Linked DNA regions of Stegostoma tigrinum. The protein of the gene in region 2 interacts with the protein of the main gene of each other region in a biochemical or structural test. Links are inferred from orthologs where the notes say so. Each region holds a gene or a part of one and is shown on either strand. Other genes may lie near its edges.

Region 1 (8,718 bases), on a different chromosome or scaffold from region 2:
AATGAAACAAAAGCATGACAATGTGATTTATAGCTTTGGAAAAAGAGCAAGCATTTCCACATGAAATCAAGACCCTAAATCCCACCTACTCAATTGGGTCCAATTCTGCATCACTATAGCTTCCCAGGTGAAATAAATAACTGTACCAAGCACTCTCTCCACCACCACATCGCCTCTTGAGGGAAGAGCTCCTTATTTTCAAATACAAAAGTTAATTGTCTGAAATGGCCAATAACTGAGGCACTGCAGCATTTGAACGTCCATAACCAGAAACTGTTTTGGATTTAGTGATTATCTCCAATGACCTGCTTGTCAATGTAAACAGTTTGGTCTTCTTGTGAAGTTGGACAAGAGTGATCAAAAGCATTCAGGTTCAGCACCAGAGGACCTAGAGGCTGTGGGCTTTCACCTGCCATGGAGGCCATATACCAACCCTCAAATCCTACTGGTCTGAAGGAGGAGTGCCCTCATCTGTTTACCAATATTTCTGAGGGATAAAGGGCTGATAGGGAAGCAAGGACAGCTGCTATAACTGGTTCTATTAAAGCAATCTGCAAATCGGGTGGTTAACATATTGAAGAAAACAGTGAATCAGCCAAGGGACTTTTAAACCGCAAAACATACACAAATTTATGATAAACAATCTTCCCATTGAAACACACTGCTGGATTTGGATGAATGGTTAAATCTAACAATATTAATTTGTTCTGCCCATGTAATGTGCAACAGCCAAGCTTTGCCAGTTGTAAGAATTCCCCATCCATGAGGAAACTGAGGGCTGAATATGCTGCTGGTCCTTTGCTCACTAGTGGCATTGGTGGAGATATAATTGACATATTTTTCCTTTGTTGGTGGTTGTGCTTTCAGTTGACTGGTTCCTAAGCTTTTCCTCCCTAAACTCTTTTGCATTTCTTTCTATCTTTCTTCATTAGGGGACCAATATCCTGGTGGGGAAATTTGCTAGAGCTCCTTGGGAGGATTTAATATAGTCTGGCTAGGGGTGGGGTCCAAAGCAGTAGGAAGATGAAAGAGAAAGTTGAGGATAGTACAGAGGTTACTGAGAACAAGTTAAATAGTAAAGGCAGTGTTGCCATTCTCAGGACTAGGCAGGGCCAGCAAGGGCACAGCTGGAAGGAAGGGATGTCTGTGTTAAACTGCATTTATTTCAATGCAAGAGGCCTGACAGGTAAGGCGAATGAATTTTGGCATGGATGGATACATGGGAACATGGGAACTGGGATATTATAGTTGTTATAGAGACATGGCTGAGGGAAGGACAGAACTGGCAGCTCAATATTCCAGGGCACAGATGGTATTGGAAGTATAGAAGGGGAGGCAAGAAAGGAGGGGGAGTAGTGTTTTTGGTTGGGGAGAACATCACAGCAGTGCTGAGAGAAGATATTCTTGAGGGTTCATCCACTGAGTCGATATGGGTAGAACTCAGAAACAAAAAGGTGACGGGATCACTTTGATAGCATTGTACAATAGGTCTCCAAAATAGTCAGCCAGAGATTGAGGAGCAAATATGTAAGGATATCACAGATAGCTGCAAGACTAATAGGGTTGTAATAGTAGAGGATTTTTACTTCCTTCACATCGAATGGGATTGCCATAGTGTTAAGGGCTTGGATGGGCATAAATTGGTTAAGTGTGTTCAGGAAGAATTTCTCAATCAGTATGTATATGACCCGACTAGAATTGGGGAAAAACTTGAGCTTCTCTTGGGAAATATGGCAGGGAAAGTGATGGAAGTGTTAATGCAGTAGCACTTTGGAACCAGTGACCATGATTCCATTAGTTTTAACTTAGCTATGGAAAAGGATAAGTCTGTTCAACAAGCTAAAGTTCTCAATTGGGCTTAGCCAATTTTGATGGTCTTAGACAGGAACTTTCAAAGTTGATTACAGGAGGCTGTTTGCATGTAAAGTGACATCTGGTAAGTGGAAGGCTTTCAAAATTGAGATGGGGATTCAGGACCAGCATGTTCCTGTTAGAGTGAAGGGTAAGGTTGGCAGGAGCAGGGAACCCTGGATGAGTTATTGAGGCCCTGGTCAAAATAAAGAAGGAGGCATATGACATGTATAGGCAGCAGGGACGAAGTGAATTCCCTGAGAAGTATAAAGGATTTCGGAGTACACTTAAGAGAGAAATCAGGAGGGCTAAAAGTGGACACAAGATGGCTTTGGCAGATAAGTTAAAGGAGAATCCAAAGCAATTCTACAAGTATACAAAGGGCAAAAGAGTATCTGGGGACAGAATAGGGTCTCTTAAAGATCAACAACATTGTTTATGAGCAGAGCCAAAAAAGATGGGTGATATCCTAAATGCATATTTGTCATTGATATTTACCATCAAGAATGGAATGGACACGAGGGAACTTGGGGGAAATAAATAGTGATGCCTTGAAAAGAATTCACATTACAGAAGAGGAGGTGCTGGAAGCTTTAAGAAGCATTAAGGTAGATGAATCCCCAGAACCCAATGAACAGTATCATTGTCAGAGGCTAGGGAGGAAATTGCAGGGGGTGGAGATATTTGTATAATCAACAGCCACCTGTGATGCAACTGAAGATTGGAGGGTGGCTAATGTTGTGTCATTATTTAAGAAACACTGAAGGGAAACGCCTGGGAACTATAGACTGGTGAGCCTAACATCTGTGATGGGTGAGTTGTTCGAGGGCATTTGGAGAGGCAACAACTCATTTGGGATAGTCAGCATGTCTCACGAATTTGAGTTTTTTGAAGAGGGGACCAAGAGAGTAGATGAAGACTAAGTGGTCGATGATGTCTACATGGTCTTTAGCAAGGCCTTTGACACAATACCAAACAAAAGGCTGTTGAGTATGGTTATATCTCATGAGATCCAGAGAGAAGTAGCCAACTGTATACAAAAGTAGCTTGACAGTAGAAGACAAATGATGGTGATAAGAGATTGTTTTTCACACTGGAGTCCTGTGACCAGCAGTGTGCCACAGGGTTTGGTGCTGGGTCCACTGTTATTTGTCATTTATATAAATGATTTGAATGAGAATTTAGGGGGTATGGATGAAACTTAGTGGTATAGTGACAGTGAAGAAGGTTATCTTCGAATGCAGCGAGATCTTGATCAACTGAGCCAGTGGGCTGAGGAATAGCAGATGGAGTTTAACTTAGATAAAGGCACGATGTTGCGTTTTGGGGGGTCAAACCAGAGCAGGACAGAGATCTAAAGGTACAGGTTCATAGCTCCTTGAAATTAGAGTCACAGGTAGACAGAGTGGTGAAGAAGACTTTCAACATGCTTGTTTTCATCAGTCAGAGCACTGGGTATAGAAGTTGGGATGTCTTGTTGCAGCTATACAAGATGTTTGGAGCACTGCATGCATTCTGGCCTCCATTATAGAAAGAATATAAGTAAACTAGGAAGAGCTCAGAAAGATTTACTAGGATTCTATCAGGACTGGAAGGTTTGAGTTCTAAGGAGAGGTTGGATAGGCTGGGACTTTGTTCCTTGGAGCAAAGAAGGCTGAAGGCAATCTTATGAATGTCTACAAAATCATACGAGTTATTGATAAGGTAGATAGCCAACAGCTTTTCCCCTTGGAAGGGGAGTCTAAAACCAGAGGCCATAGGTTTAGCTTGAGAGGGAAAACATAAACCAGGATCTAGAGGGGCAAATTTTTCACACAGAGGGTAGAGAGTGTCTGGAACAGCCTGCAAGACATAGTGGTAGAAGTGACTACAACTTCATCATCATTTAGGAAACATTTAGACACATACATGGATGGGATAGATATGGAAGGATATCGACCAAATGTATGCAAATGAGACTAGTTTAATTGAGACCACTTCAGGGGTTTCAATGAGATCACCTTGGTGGCTTAGTGGTTAGCACTACAGCCTCAAAGCACCAGGGACCCAGGTTCAATCCCAGCCTCCGGCGACTGTCTGTGTGGAGTCGCACATTCTCCCCGTGTCTGCCTGGGTTTCCTCCAGGTGCTCCGGTTTACTCCCACAGTCCAAAGATGTGCAGTCTAGTGGATTGGCCATGCTAAATTGCCCATAGTGTTCAGGGGTGTGTGGGTTATAGGGGAATGGGTCTGGGTGGGATGCTTCAAGGGGCGGTGTGGACTTGTTGGACCGAAGGGCCTGTTTCCACGCTGTAGGTAATCTAATCTAATCTAAAACTGGACGCATGGGTAAGTGGGGCCTAAGGGTCTGTTTCCATGCTGTAGACCTCTATTACTCTATCTAATACATTACTTAAAACCAATTTTTTGATCAAGTTTTTGGCCATTTGTTCTTATACTTCCTCCAGCTACAGTCAAAAATATTTTTACTGATAAAGCACATTGTTAAGCACGTGTTTTATATGTTATTATGGTTGTAGTATGTGATCAACCATACCTGTCTCAATGACTTTTACAGCAGAAGGTGACCAGTTTCTGAACGTAACAAAAACTGAAAGAACTGCAGATGCTGTACATGAGGAGCAAAAACAGAAGTTGCTGGAAAAGCTGAGCAGGTCAGAACCTTGAGTTCTGAGGAAGGATCACTGGACCCGAAACGTTAACATTGATATTTCCTCCACAGACGCTGCCAGACTTGCTGAGCTTTTCCAGCAACTTGTTTCAATTTCTGAATTTGCTGGCAGTAAAAGATAAATTTATATAATGTGCTGCCTAGAAGTACGTAGAATTCTCGGTGTGCAGGTTGCGAGGATTTCTATGCGCAGATTTTGACAAGATGGCTAGCTATCGTTTATCCTATATCTTCAGCATATAATACTATTTGTCCCAGACATCAGATTCCTTAAGTAATTGCGCTGTTCGGAACTTTGTTGTGGCAAGAGACTCCGAAGAAGACTTCAGACACATTTCACGGATGCCCTCAAAGGCATGAACTTTCCCATCACCTCATGGGAGTCCCTCGCTTGTCGATGAACTCAAATGCAAAAGGAAGGCATTGGGAGCATGCTGAAGCAAAACTGAAGCGTTGGTGACAGCACAGAAATCTCCAAATACCTAATGTTCTTGACCCTTCAAGCACAACTTATTCTGCATGTGGCAAAGTCTGCAGGTCAGCGAGGTATCATTCTGGACTGGAGGCGCAACCCCAGTTTCTCTCCACAGAAGCTGCCAGACCTGAGTTTCTCAGGTAATTTCTGTTTTCGTTTCAGGTTTGCAGTGTCCTCCGTATTTTGCTTTTATTGCTTGAACACACAATACCGCCTGAGAATGTTTGTGGGATGGAGGCTGAAGAATCTGAACATCGTTTACTCGGTGCATTTAGAGAGATACAATTGCTCTAGCCGTTCAGCATAAACACCCTACAGCTTTCCAACTCCCCCGACACCGCGGGTGCACCGCCGGACAGCAAGCAAGAGGAGCACGGCTCTGACGTGCGCGCCGTCCGGACGGTCTGGGCGTCGCACGTGCGCGCTCTCGCACTCGCGGGGTGTCGCGCGCACTCGAGCGGTGACGGTGCCGCGCCGGAGATGGGGATTGGCGAGTGGGGCTGCGCGGCGGAGCGGAGATACGGAGAGTGAGGGGGAGCCAGAGCCGGATCGGCAGGGCCAGGGAGGAGGAGGAGGGTGAGGACGGCCTTTAAACGGGTGAGTGGTGTAGGCCCCGGACTGCGGGCTGCAAACCGTGGCCCTTGTCTGTATGTCCGTCCGGTTTGGATGCTGTTCCCGTTTGGCCCACTCCGAGCAGGGAGACTCTTCGGACGCTCTGGGTTCTGACCGGAATTGTGAGTGATGGGGATGGAGGAGGCTGCGGCTGGGCCCTGCCTCTCCTCCCCTCCCCTCCCCTCCCCTTCCCTTCCCTCAGGGCAGCCACGGCGGAGGAGGCCGAGGCCCCGACCCTGAGCCCATGGAGATAAACCGAATGCCGGCAAAGGGCCTGGGGGTCGGGACTGGGGGAAGGAGAGACAACATGGAGCTGCTGATCCGGCTTTCCAGCCGAGTTTCAGCTGGCACCTCTTACTCAATCCAGACTGTGGAGAATAGAAATGTTACATTAATAAAACTCCTTGTCAAAGGAGTGGACATTTGCAGCACGCTCTCTTCTCCCCCCCCCCCCCAGGTTTGTTTTCTTTAAAATTGCTGATACATGGATGAGAGTTGACCTGGGCCAACTGGGAGACATGGGTTTAGTTTGTGTTCGGGACTGAAGTGGACTCTTGTCTGGTCTCTGTCTTCGAGCCGGGAGGATGAGATGGCTTGGTTGTGGTGTGTGGGGGCGGGCGGTTGTTGTTTGTGAGAAGGGACCACTGCAATTCCAACTGCATGCTGCCCTCCTGGCAATCACAAAGTGTCCGTGACCATGACGAAGCAGCCAGCAGCACGTCTTAATATTTGTACACAAGCGCTTTTGGCCAAAATCTTTCTCGATCTTCTTGCTGGTAGTGGGCATTACAATCCAGGGCACCCGATGTGATTGAAGAGGGAGCAGCGTTTGCAGGTTTTGCCGTTTAACGAAATGCATTTTCTCAGGGTGTTTTAAAAATGTTTTCTGGATTCCTGTCAGCTGTAGCTGACTCCCCGCCCGCCCCTTGCTTGCAAGTTCCAAGATCCGAGAATTCCTGGATTCCTCTGCCTCTGCTGACAGAAGTAGAATATTGCAGCATCTTAGTACCAGGCCTCTAAAAAAGGCCCAGTAATATCTGCAAGTATACAGCCCGATGAGCTGTTTACAGCTTTGTAATTACTGTGTATAGATATATGGGAGATTTAAAAATCTGAAAAGGAAAATTACAGTTGTCGTGACCCACTAACGTTGCTCAAATGACAGCTGGTATAATTCAGGAAAGCCCTGCAAATCCGTTGAATTTAGATTGTCTTTGTAAAATAAAATTTCTTCTCTGTAAAATCAAAAAGAACATAGAACAATACAGCGCAGAACAGGCCCTTCGGCCCTCGATGTTGCGCCGACCTGTGAACTAATCTAAGCCCCTCCCCCTACACTATCCCATCATCACCCATATGCTTAGCCAAGGAGTTAAGACCGTAACATGAAATTTAATCATAATTACTTTAGGAAGATGTGTGCAGAGTGCAAAGCCTCAATTTCTCGTGTTTAATAGTGTATTAGTTTGCTGTTTGTGTTGTTTATGGCTTATGGTTGTATGAAAGTTATTGGTTGTCAGTATTCAAATTAATGTCCAAAATATTATTTGAAATTAGTTAAAACTGTATCTTAAATTACAGGTCTTGAATTCTGTTCATGCTAAGTATTTATGTTGAGAGCTTTTTTGAACAAAATCTTGACTTGTCTCAAGCCTGATACCTATAATATATTTATGTTGAATGTCTGGTTTTCTTACACAGCCCATGATGCTTCGTTTGCTGTGGCCACCTGGACAGTTATCTCCAAGTTGCAGATATTTTGCTAAATCACCTCCTCTTGATAGCTAATTCATTTGTAGTACTGTATAGGACTGCATGAACCCATGGTTTGACCAGTGACTAAGAGTACAGCCTTTTCAGTTACTGCAGTTTGGAGTTTTTGCATTTATGAACTTACATATTTGATTGTCCTATAAATCAGAAGAGGGTCAAAGTACATACAAGAACACCTTTAAAAGAAGTTCTTGTGATTTGACATTAGTTTAGCTTGGTTTTCAAACTGTTATTCAAGAAGTGAGCTAGGGATGAAGCAGGAAACTACAGACCAGTCAGTCAAACCTCTGATAACAAGGTGCAGAGCTGGATGAACACAGCAGGCCAAGCAGCATCAAAGGAGCAGGAAGGCTGACGTTTCGGGTCAAGACCCTTCTTCAGAAATGGGGGAGGGGAAGGGGATTCTGAAATGAAAAGGGAGACGGGGGAGGTGAATAGCAGATGGATAAAGGAGAAAGTAGGGTGAGAGGAGACAGACAGGTCAAAGAGGCGGGGATGGAGCCAGTAAAGTTGAATGTAGGTGGGGAGTTAGGGAAGCGATAGAGATTCCTGCTCCTTTGTTTGGCCTGGTGTCCATCCAGCTCTACACCTTGTTATCTCAGATTCTCCAGCATCTGCAGTTCCTAGCATCTCAATCTAACCCCAATAGTCGGGAAGCTAATAGGAACAATTCTGAAGTACAAAATTAATCTGCCTTTTGGATAGGCAAGAATTCATCAAGAATAATAACATAGTGTCGTTAAGCGGAGTACATGTCTGACCAATTTGAATCCTTCAAAGAGATAACTGGGTGTGTAGATGAGGGCAATACATTGGACGTAATTGATTGGAAGCAAGGCAGTTGATAAGATCTTGTACGGGAGACTGATAGCAAAGGTAAAAGCCTATGGGATCCAGAATTGGCTGAATGACAGGAAGAAGAGGCTGATGGTTGAGATGTGTTTTTGACTGGAAGCCTGTGCCAGGTGGGATTCTGCAGAGATCAGTATTGTGGCGCTTGCTGTTTGTGGTATATATAAATGGTTTAGCCTTGAACGTAAGAAGTTTAATCAGTAAGTTCACTGATGGCCCAGACATTAGTGAGGTGGATAGCCTTAGATTACAGGAGGACGTGGATGGGCTGGCCAGATGGCTGATCAGTGGCAAACGGATATAATCCAAGTAAGTGTGAGATGATTCACTTGGGTAGGAAAAACAAGATAAGGGAGTATGTACGAATGGCTTGGACCTTGCAAAGCAGTGAGGATCAGAGGGAGCTGGTGCGTCTGTCCGTCCGTCCACTGGTCACTTGAGATAGTGGAAGATAGAGTGGTTAAGAAGACATATTGATACTTGCC
Region 2 (8,163 bases):
TTGCTGTTCCTGCAACTACGGGTGGCATCCTTGTGGCACTGCAGGAGGCCCATGGTGGGCATGCCATCTAAAGAATGGGAGGGAGAGTGGAAATGGTTTGCAACTGGGAGGTGCAGTTGTTTATTGCGAACCGAGCGGAGGTGTTCTGCAAAGCAGTCCCCAAGCCTCCGCTTGGTTTCCCCAATGTAGAGGTAGCCACACCGGGTACAATGGATGCAGTATACCACATTGGCAGATGTGCAGGTGAACCTCTGCTTGATATGGAAAAAGTGATCTTGGGGCCTGGGATAGGGGTGAGGGAGGAGGTGTGGGGGTAAGTGTAGCATTTCCTGCGGTTGCAGGGGAAGGTGCCGGGTGTGGTGGAGTTGGAGGGCAGTGTGGAGCGAACAAGGGAGTCACTGAGAGAGTGGTCTATTCCGGAAAGCAGACAAGGGTGGGGATGGAAAAATGTCTTGGGTGGTGGGGTCGGATTGTAGATGGCGGAAGTGTCGGAGTATGATGCATTGTATCCGGAGGTTGGTGGGGTGGTGTGTGAGAATGAGGGGGATCCTCTTAGGGCGGTTGTGGCGGGGGCGGGGTGTGAGGGATGTGTTGCAGGAATTGCGGGAGACGCGGTCAAGGGCGTTCTCGACCACTGTGGGGGGAAAATTGCAGTCCTTGAAGAACTTGGACATCTGGGATGTGCGGGAGTGGAATGCCTCATCGTGGGAGCAGATGCAGCGGAGGCGGAGGAATTGGGAATAGGGGATGGAATTTTTGCAGGAGGGTGGGTGGGAGGAGGTGTATTCTAGGTAGCTGTGGGAGTCGGTGGGCTTGAAATGGACATCAGTTACAAGCTGGTTGCCTGAGATGGAGATTGAGGGGTCCTGGAAGGTGAGGGATTTGTGTATACGGGTTTAAACAGGGGTTTGTCTACCATGCACATGAACTTTTGATTGCTTGAAAATCTAGCCATTTCATTTGTTTAGAAAAGGATTGTACAGAGTCATCTGAAACTGGCACCAAGAATTAGCAGTCATCTCCAACATACCAGAAACATTTCACTGCACTCTCATAACATCAACCTAATCCAGCTGCATCTTGTTCTTTCACTTATTTTCTTTGCTTTTCTGAACTACACAAACTTGAAAATGAGGATGGCTTAAAAAAGATTTTTTTGCAATATATCTACTTGTTTCACACTTACAATAACCATTGACATAAATAGTGAAGGAATGATTTGAGGATTATGATGTTAGTTACCATTTAAAATGCAATTGCACACTTATCTACACTAGGCAGATTAAGTTTAAAAACATTCCATTAAAATACAACCAAAACTTTAATGTGCAAAGGTGAAATAATGCCACACGTTCCTTGTGAGGTAGAAAAAAAGTTGCAGCTTAACTGCAAAATAGTTGCTCAAATAGTTTCCAAAACAGATCAAAATGATTTAAATAGAAAACACCTTTGGGTAATAGTTAGACACATATCACTACAGCCTGGGGGTGGTGAATGCTCAGAGTCATCAGGGAAATATTCATCATGCTCACTGCTGTTGAAGATACAAATGCTACATTCCCCTTTCATCTGTAAAAACTCCACGATAATGCCAAATATTTGAGCATTCCCTCCCCCTACCCCTCCCGCTAATAATAATCAGCTGACTGGCGGAAAATCTGATCAATTATTCAGAGAGAACAACTATGCAGCAAATTCAGATCCCACCAACTCCTGAAAAAGAAGTTGCAAAGTTTGGGACTGGCCACACGTTCAAAGTTTTCCGATTATAGATCTTCCAGCTGTCGTTGGCATATTTTCGGTGCAGTGGCTCAGGGAGAATTTCAAAGTGCTGGGAAGTTTTTTCTAGTCTCAATGACTTGCTCTGTAGGCGAGGAAAAAGTCAGATGCTTGAACGCGACATAGCAAGTGCTAAACCAGCTGCGGCCCTCACCCACTGACCAAAAAAAACCTAAATTAAAAATAAAAATACAGCACATCCTCACCCACGCCTGGTGCATACTGCGCATTGTCGAGTACGGGGGAAGATTGAGTGCACGCCGCCCTCAACACACACTTTAGCCATTCCAGCACTACCAGGTTATAGAGCCACTCCCACCTGTAACTGGGAGGAAGTGGAAGTGTAATCGTGGAATTGCTGGTCGAAATGTATTGTTTCTTCATATCAATATACATTAAAATATGTATTACGAACAAATTCTATATAATTCACGTGAACAAAACAAGTGAACCTAAAACCAACGCCTTCAAATCCGAGAACGGTCAATATGGAGAAGCGGCAATAAAACTTCTCAGTTTCATTTTTCCTACAAGAATTCGGTTTTTGATCTAAAGTCTAATGTCAACAGCGCGACTCCGGGATCACAACAGCAACAACTTTTAGCTGCTACCCATTCACCCTCGCAGTGTTTACACACATTTCCTTATCATCGCTCCCATTCACAATAAGCAGCACTTGCGGATCCCAATCTCCAATGAACGTTATTTTTAAAAAAAAGTTAAAACAGGCGGGAGGGAGAGAGGGCACTCTTCCTCGCAAACGTGCGGCGTTTAATCCTCCAAGAAAGGGGGGGGGGGGGGTAACTGTTAAATACAAGTTGGGGTCGTGAAAGAAAATAGTTGCAAATCAGAAGCAAGAAAAAAAGCCTTCCGACGCCGATACAATGTGGAAAAGAAATACGATTACTCTATGTTCTATGTATTCAGGAAACTCATTGAAGTGTTACAGAGATGGGGTGAGTGGGGAGATAACATTTTGTAAAGGGGTTTATTTAAGTTTGCATACTTATTTCAACGACCTTTCGTGTTTTCAAGGACTGAAGGGAACAGTTTTGCTCCGGTTGCAGTGAGGAGAGTGGGGTTCTTAGAGGGACATACCTGGGCTAAGTCGTCCGTCGCCAGCATCCTCGCCGCTGGACTCTTCATGCCGTCGAACATCGCCTCCTCCGCCTGAAGACCTACCGGTTTGAGTTGGGTGAAGACAGGCTCGTCCGAGCTGCCCCCGCCCAAACTGCCCCTCACTGCACCGCAGGCCATTTGCTCCACACGGTCACAGGGAGTGCGTTTCTGCGTGTGGTGAGTATAAGATCCGCATCCGCCGCAAACACTCTGCCTGCCGCCCGGGATCCCGCAGTTTTCACTCGCACCCACTGACTGCCGACTCTCCAAACATTCCTGCCACTTCCACCCCGGGACACCCGGGCATCCAACCCTCCTCTCCCCCACACCCGCCAAACTCCGGCCACAACCGTGACCGACAGCACAAACCACCAATCAGGATCCAGATCCCCATCCGAGCGATGGGCGCACTCACCAATCAGCCCCCACCAGTGGATGGGGAGGCGGGCTCTCCTGGAAGCATCAGGTTACACGCTCACTCACCAGGTATGTGCTGAGGTAACGTTTACTTAGATGTTTCAAGGCTGCGCTGGTACAGCGGTAATATCCCTCCCTCTAGGCTAGGTGACTCGGGTTTAAGTCCCGCTTGCCCCAGAAACTGTGTTTCCCCCCCCAAAAAAACTACCGCTTTGGTTTCAAACATCCGAACCTGTTATTGGGATTCAGAGCGATTGAAGTAATCCTTCCCAATTTTTAAGTGGAAGTGCACTTTTGGAGTGCCGTCAAAGTTTCTCACTGTTTCGATTAGACTCGTAACCGGATGAAAAAAAAACACAAATCTGCCGTAGGGTTTCCAAGAATGTAGGAACAGATGGACACCACGGAGTTTATGAGTACCATAATTTAAATCTGCTCCGAGTAATTGTAATGAATACATCTTGTACTGAATCAGGCCAACGTTAGTGGTCAGGTGCCACCGCAGTTCAAATGCGTGGGGAGCGGGGGTGGGATGGTGTCGCAGAATTCACTTTAGACGTTCTACTGTGCATGAATAGATGCTGGATTTGCTTTCAAGGGTAGAACAACTTGTGTTGATAAACCACTGGAAGTTTTAATTTTTCTCCAGTGCTCATTGGCCTACATGACCCCCATTCCAACAATGTCTCAATTTTGATGTTTTTCCACATGACTGACACGCCGTTCGTGATCTCATTCCCTCCTTGTGTCTAGAACAATCTCCAGCTCTTCAACTCTGAAAGATCTCTGCTCCCCTCCAACCAACATCTTAGGCACCCCTGATCCCAACTGATTTGCCATTGGCAGTCGTGCCTACGCGCTGATCTCTGCAAATCTTTCCTATTTATCTCTCTTGTTTTCTGTCCTACATTAACTGGTCAAACCTGCCTCTCTGCCGTCATGATATCTCCTTGTATCCCAAATAAAATTATGTTTGCTAGTACTCCTGTGAAATGTGTTGGTCTGTTTCAGGAATTTAAAAGTACTGTAGCAGATATTTTAAGTGATATTTCAGAATTCACACAGTATAGGAAGTCCCCAACTTTTGAACATCAGAATTACAAACTCTCATGCTTACCAATGTGAACCCCAAACAGGACTGTAATTTTAAATATCAGGCTTACAAACATTTCCAGTACTTACAAGTGGCTGCTTTATAGTGCCATGCATTGTGTTCCGATTTGCATACAATCAACTTGCAAGTGGACTCAGGAACAAAACAGATACATTCCAACGATTAAGAATTATTCCAAGGGATGGACCACTTGTGGTATACTAGAAATTGTAAAGATAGTTACAAACTAAGAGAACTGGCATACAAGTATGCAAAGATGGGTTGGAGGTCAGAATTTGGGATGGAACAGAAAGAAAGCAAACAATGTCTACAAAAGTAGTAGCGAAGGAGTGATTACAGTGCAAGCCAGAAATAAAAATCAGACAGAGTTTCTGTAAATACTTACCGATGAAAAAAAAACTGGTGTTGGTCCTACAAACAATGACACAAGGGAATTAATGGAAAATAAACAAATGACAAATGAACAAGTACTTTGCATCAGTCCTTATGATGGAAGTTACAAGTAAAATCGCAGAAGTAGGAATAAATCAGGAAATTGAAAGGAGGAAGAAAATCACATCACCATCAAAGTAGTACTGAGTAAATTGGTGGAACTGTGGTCTGACATGGTCATGAGTACTGCTACACTTCATCCTAGCTTTCAAAAAGAAATAACAAGTGAGATAGTTGATGTAATTGTTTTGATTTTCCAAAGGTCCCTCTAGTTGGTGACACTCTCGTGAGATTGGACGGCAGTGAATTTAAGCCCATTATTCAAAAAGGGACCAAGGTAGAAAGCAAGAAAATACAGGCTCAACATATGTAATGGAAAAGATGTTAAAAGCTATTGTTAAAAAAGTTATCACAGGGAATTTGAAAAGTTCAAGTTTATCACACAATATGGTTCTGGGAATGGAAAATCATGTTTGACCAATGGATTGGACTTCTTTGAAGAGGTAACACATGCTATGGACAAAAAGGAACCAGTGAATGTACTGTACTAGATTTTAGGAAGGGATTTGATAAGGTGCCACATCAAAGGTTATTGCAAAAGACAAAGCTGATGGTTTTGCAGGGAATAAATTAGCTTTAGATGGAAGACTGGCCAGCTGACTTAAAGCGGCCACTCACGATAAATGTTTTTTTTCAAAAAGGAATAGAGGAAAACAGGAATTAGTGTTGTGGCCTGAACATTTTACAATTTATATTAATGAATGAGTTGGAGGGACAGAAGGTACTATTTCCAAATTGGCTGACAGCGTAAAAATAGGTAGAAATGTAAGTTGTGTAGAGGATGCAAGAAAGCTAACAAAAAGATTTATGACTGAGTGAGCAAAGATGTGGCAAATGAAGTACAATGTAATAAAATATGTAATTATCATCTTAAAAAGTATTGACTGGCCGAAAGAATAAAAAGGCTTTCGTTATATAAATAATGGGCAATTTAATAGCTCAGTTTCTTTTACTCAGTCATGAGATATTGTCAACTTTGGCTGAACCAATACTTATTGTCCATACCTAGTTTCCCTTGAGAAGGTGGTGGTCAGCTACCTGTTTGAACCATTACAATCTATTTGGTGGAAGTACATCCACAATGCCATTAGGAAGGCAGTTCTGGGATTTAAGCTTGTCAACACTGAAGAAACAGCGACATATTTTCAAGTCAGAATTATGAATGACTTGGAAGAAAACTTGCAGGTGGTTAGACCTTCAGACATAGGAGCGGAAATTAGGCCATTCAGCCCTCAAGTCTGCTGCACCAAGACTGATAAGTTTCTTAACCTCATTCTCCTGCTTTCTCCCCATAACCTTTGATCCCCTTGATAATCAAGAACCTATCTATCTCAGTCTTAAATATACTCAATGACCTGGCCTTCAGCCTTGTGTGGCAGTGAATTCTATAGATTCATACTCTCTGGCTGAATAAGTTTCTCCTTATCTCCATTCTAAAAGATCTTCGCTATACTCTGAGGCTGTGCGCTCAGGTCCTAGTCTCTCCTACTAATGAAAGCATTTTCCCAATATCCACTCTGTCCAAGCCATTCAGTATCCTGTAAGTTTCTAGATCCCCCCTCATCTTTCTAAACTCAAATGAGTCCCAGAGTTCTGAAACAATCCTCATATGTTAAGCTTTCCATTCTTGGGACCATTCTCATGAATCCCCTCTGAACGCGCTCCATGGCCAGTCCATCCTTCCTGAGATTTGGGGCCCAAAACTGCGCACAATACTCCAAATGTGGCCGAACCACAGCTTGTAACGCCTCAGTAGTATATCCCTGATTTTATATTCAAATCCTCTCAAAATAAATGCCAACATTGCATTTGCCTTCTGACTACTGACTCATCCTGCAAGTTTACCTTGGGAGAATCTTGGACTAACACTCGCAAGTCTCTTTGCACTTCAGACTTCTGAATTTTCTCCCCATTTAAAAAATAGTCCATGCTTTTACTCTTCTTACCAAACTGCATAACCTCAACTTTCCCATGTTGTACTCCATCTGCCACTTCTTCTCCTAACCTGTCCAAATCCATCTGCAGCCTCCCCACCTCCTCAATACTACCTGTCCTTCCACCTATCTTTGTTTCATCTGCAAAATTAGCCGGAATGCCCACAGTTCTTTCATCTACATCATGAATGTATAAAGTGAAATGTTGTGGTCCCAACAATGACCCTTGCAGAACACCACTTGTCACCGGCTGCCATCCTGAGAAAGACCCTTTTATTCCATTACCTTGCTTTCTGCCAGACAGCCAATCTTCTATCCATGCTAGCACCTTGCCTCTAACACCATGGGCCCTTACCTTACTCAGCAGCCTCCTGTGCTGCACCTTGTCAAAGGTCTTCCTGAAGTCAAGGTAAATAACATCCATTAGCTCTCCTTGGTCTACCCTGCTCATTATTTGCTCAAAGAATTCTAACAGATTTGTCAGGCACGACCTCCCCTTAAGTAAACCATGCTGACTTTGCCATACTTCACCACAGACCTTCAAATATTCAGAAATCGCATCCTTTACAATGGACTCCAAAATCTTATCCATGACTGACGTTAGGCTAATTGGCCTGTAATTCTCCATGTTTTGTCTCACACCCTTTTTAAACAGGGATGGCACATAGCAATTTTCCAGTCCTCTGGGACACTTCCTGACTCGAGAGATTCCTGAAAGACCACCACTAACGCTTCCACTGTCTCTTCGGCTATCTCCTTTGGAAATCTGGGGTGTAGTCCATTTGGTCTAGGTGGTTTATCCAGCTTAAGGCCAATCAGTTTTACCAGCACCTTTTCCATGGTGATGTCCACCATACTCAGTTCTGACCCCTGACTCTATTGAATTTTTGGGAGAGTACTCATGTCTTCCACCGTGAAGACTGATTCAAGTAATTATTCAGTTCCTCAGCTATTTCCTTGTTCCCCATTACTATCTCTCCACCATCATTTTCCAGTGGTCTAATGTCCACTTTTGCCTCTCTTTTGCCCTTTATATATCTAAACAAACTCTTACAGTCATCATTTATATTACTCACTAGCTTACCCTCATATTTAATCTTCTCCCTCCTTATTTCTTTCTTTGTTGCCCTCTGTTAGTCTTTGTAAGCTTCCCAGTTCTCTAGTTTCCCACTGCCCTTCACCACATTATATGCTTTCTATTTTGCTTTTATGCTATTCCTGACTACCTTAGTCAGCCATGGTTGCCTCATCTTCCCTCTACCATGCTTCTTTTTCCTAGGGATGATTTTTTGCTGTGTATCCTGAATT

The links.
Region 1: of the proteins of klf5a (region 2) and NEDD4-like E3 ubiquitin-protein ligase WWP1, one has a biochemical effect on the other in vitro, tested with the Homo sapiens proteins (4 studies listed by BioGRID, with this or other methods). The link is inferred for Stegostoma tigrinum from reciprocal best matches to the Homo sapiens genes KLF5 and WWP1.

What each region holds. Positions count from the first base shown.
Region 1 is NC_081358.1:85,845,291-85,854,008, forward strand, and holds the start of NEDD4-like E3 ubiquitin-protein ligase WWP1, read left to right. Parts: upstream 1-5,461; 5' UTR 5,462-5,593; intron 5,594-8,718. UniProt on the Homo sapiens protein: E3 ubiquitin-protein ligase which accepts ubiquitin from an E2 ubiquitin-conjugating enzyme in the form of a thioester and then directly transfers the ubiquitin to targeted substrates.
Region 2 is NC_081359.1:25,686,739-25,694,901, reverse strand, and holds the start of klf5a (Krueppel-like factor 5), read right to left. Parts: upstream 3,230-8,163; 5' UTR 3,037-3,229; coding exon 2,878-3,036; intron 2,095-2,877; exon of another isoform or gene 2,010-2,094; coding exon of another isoform or gene 1,986-2,009; intron 1-1,985. UniProt on the Homo sapiens protein: Transcription factor that binds to GC box promoter elements. Activates the transcription of these genes.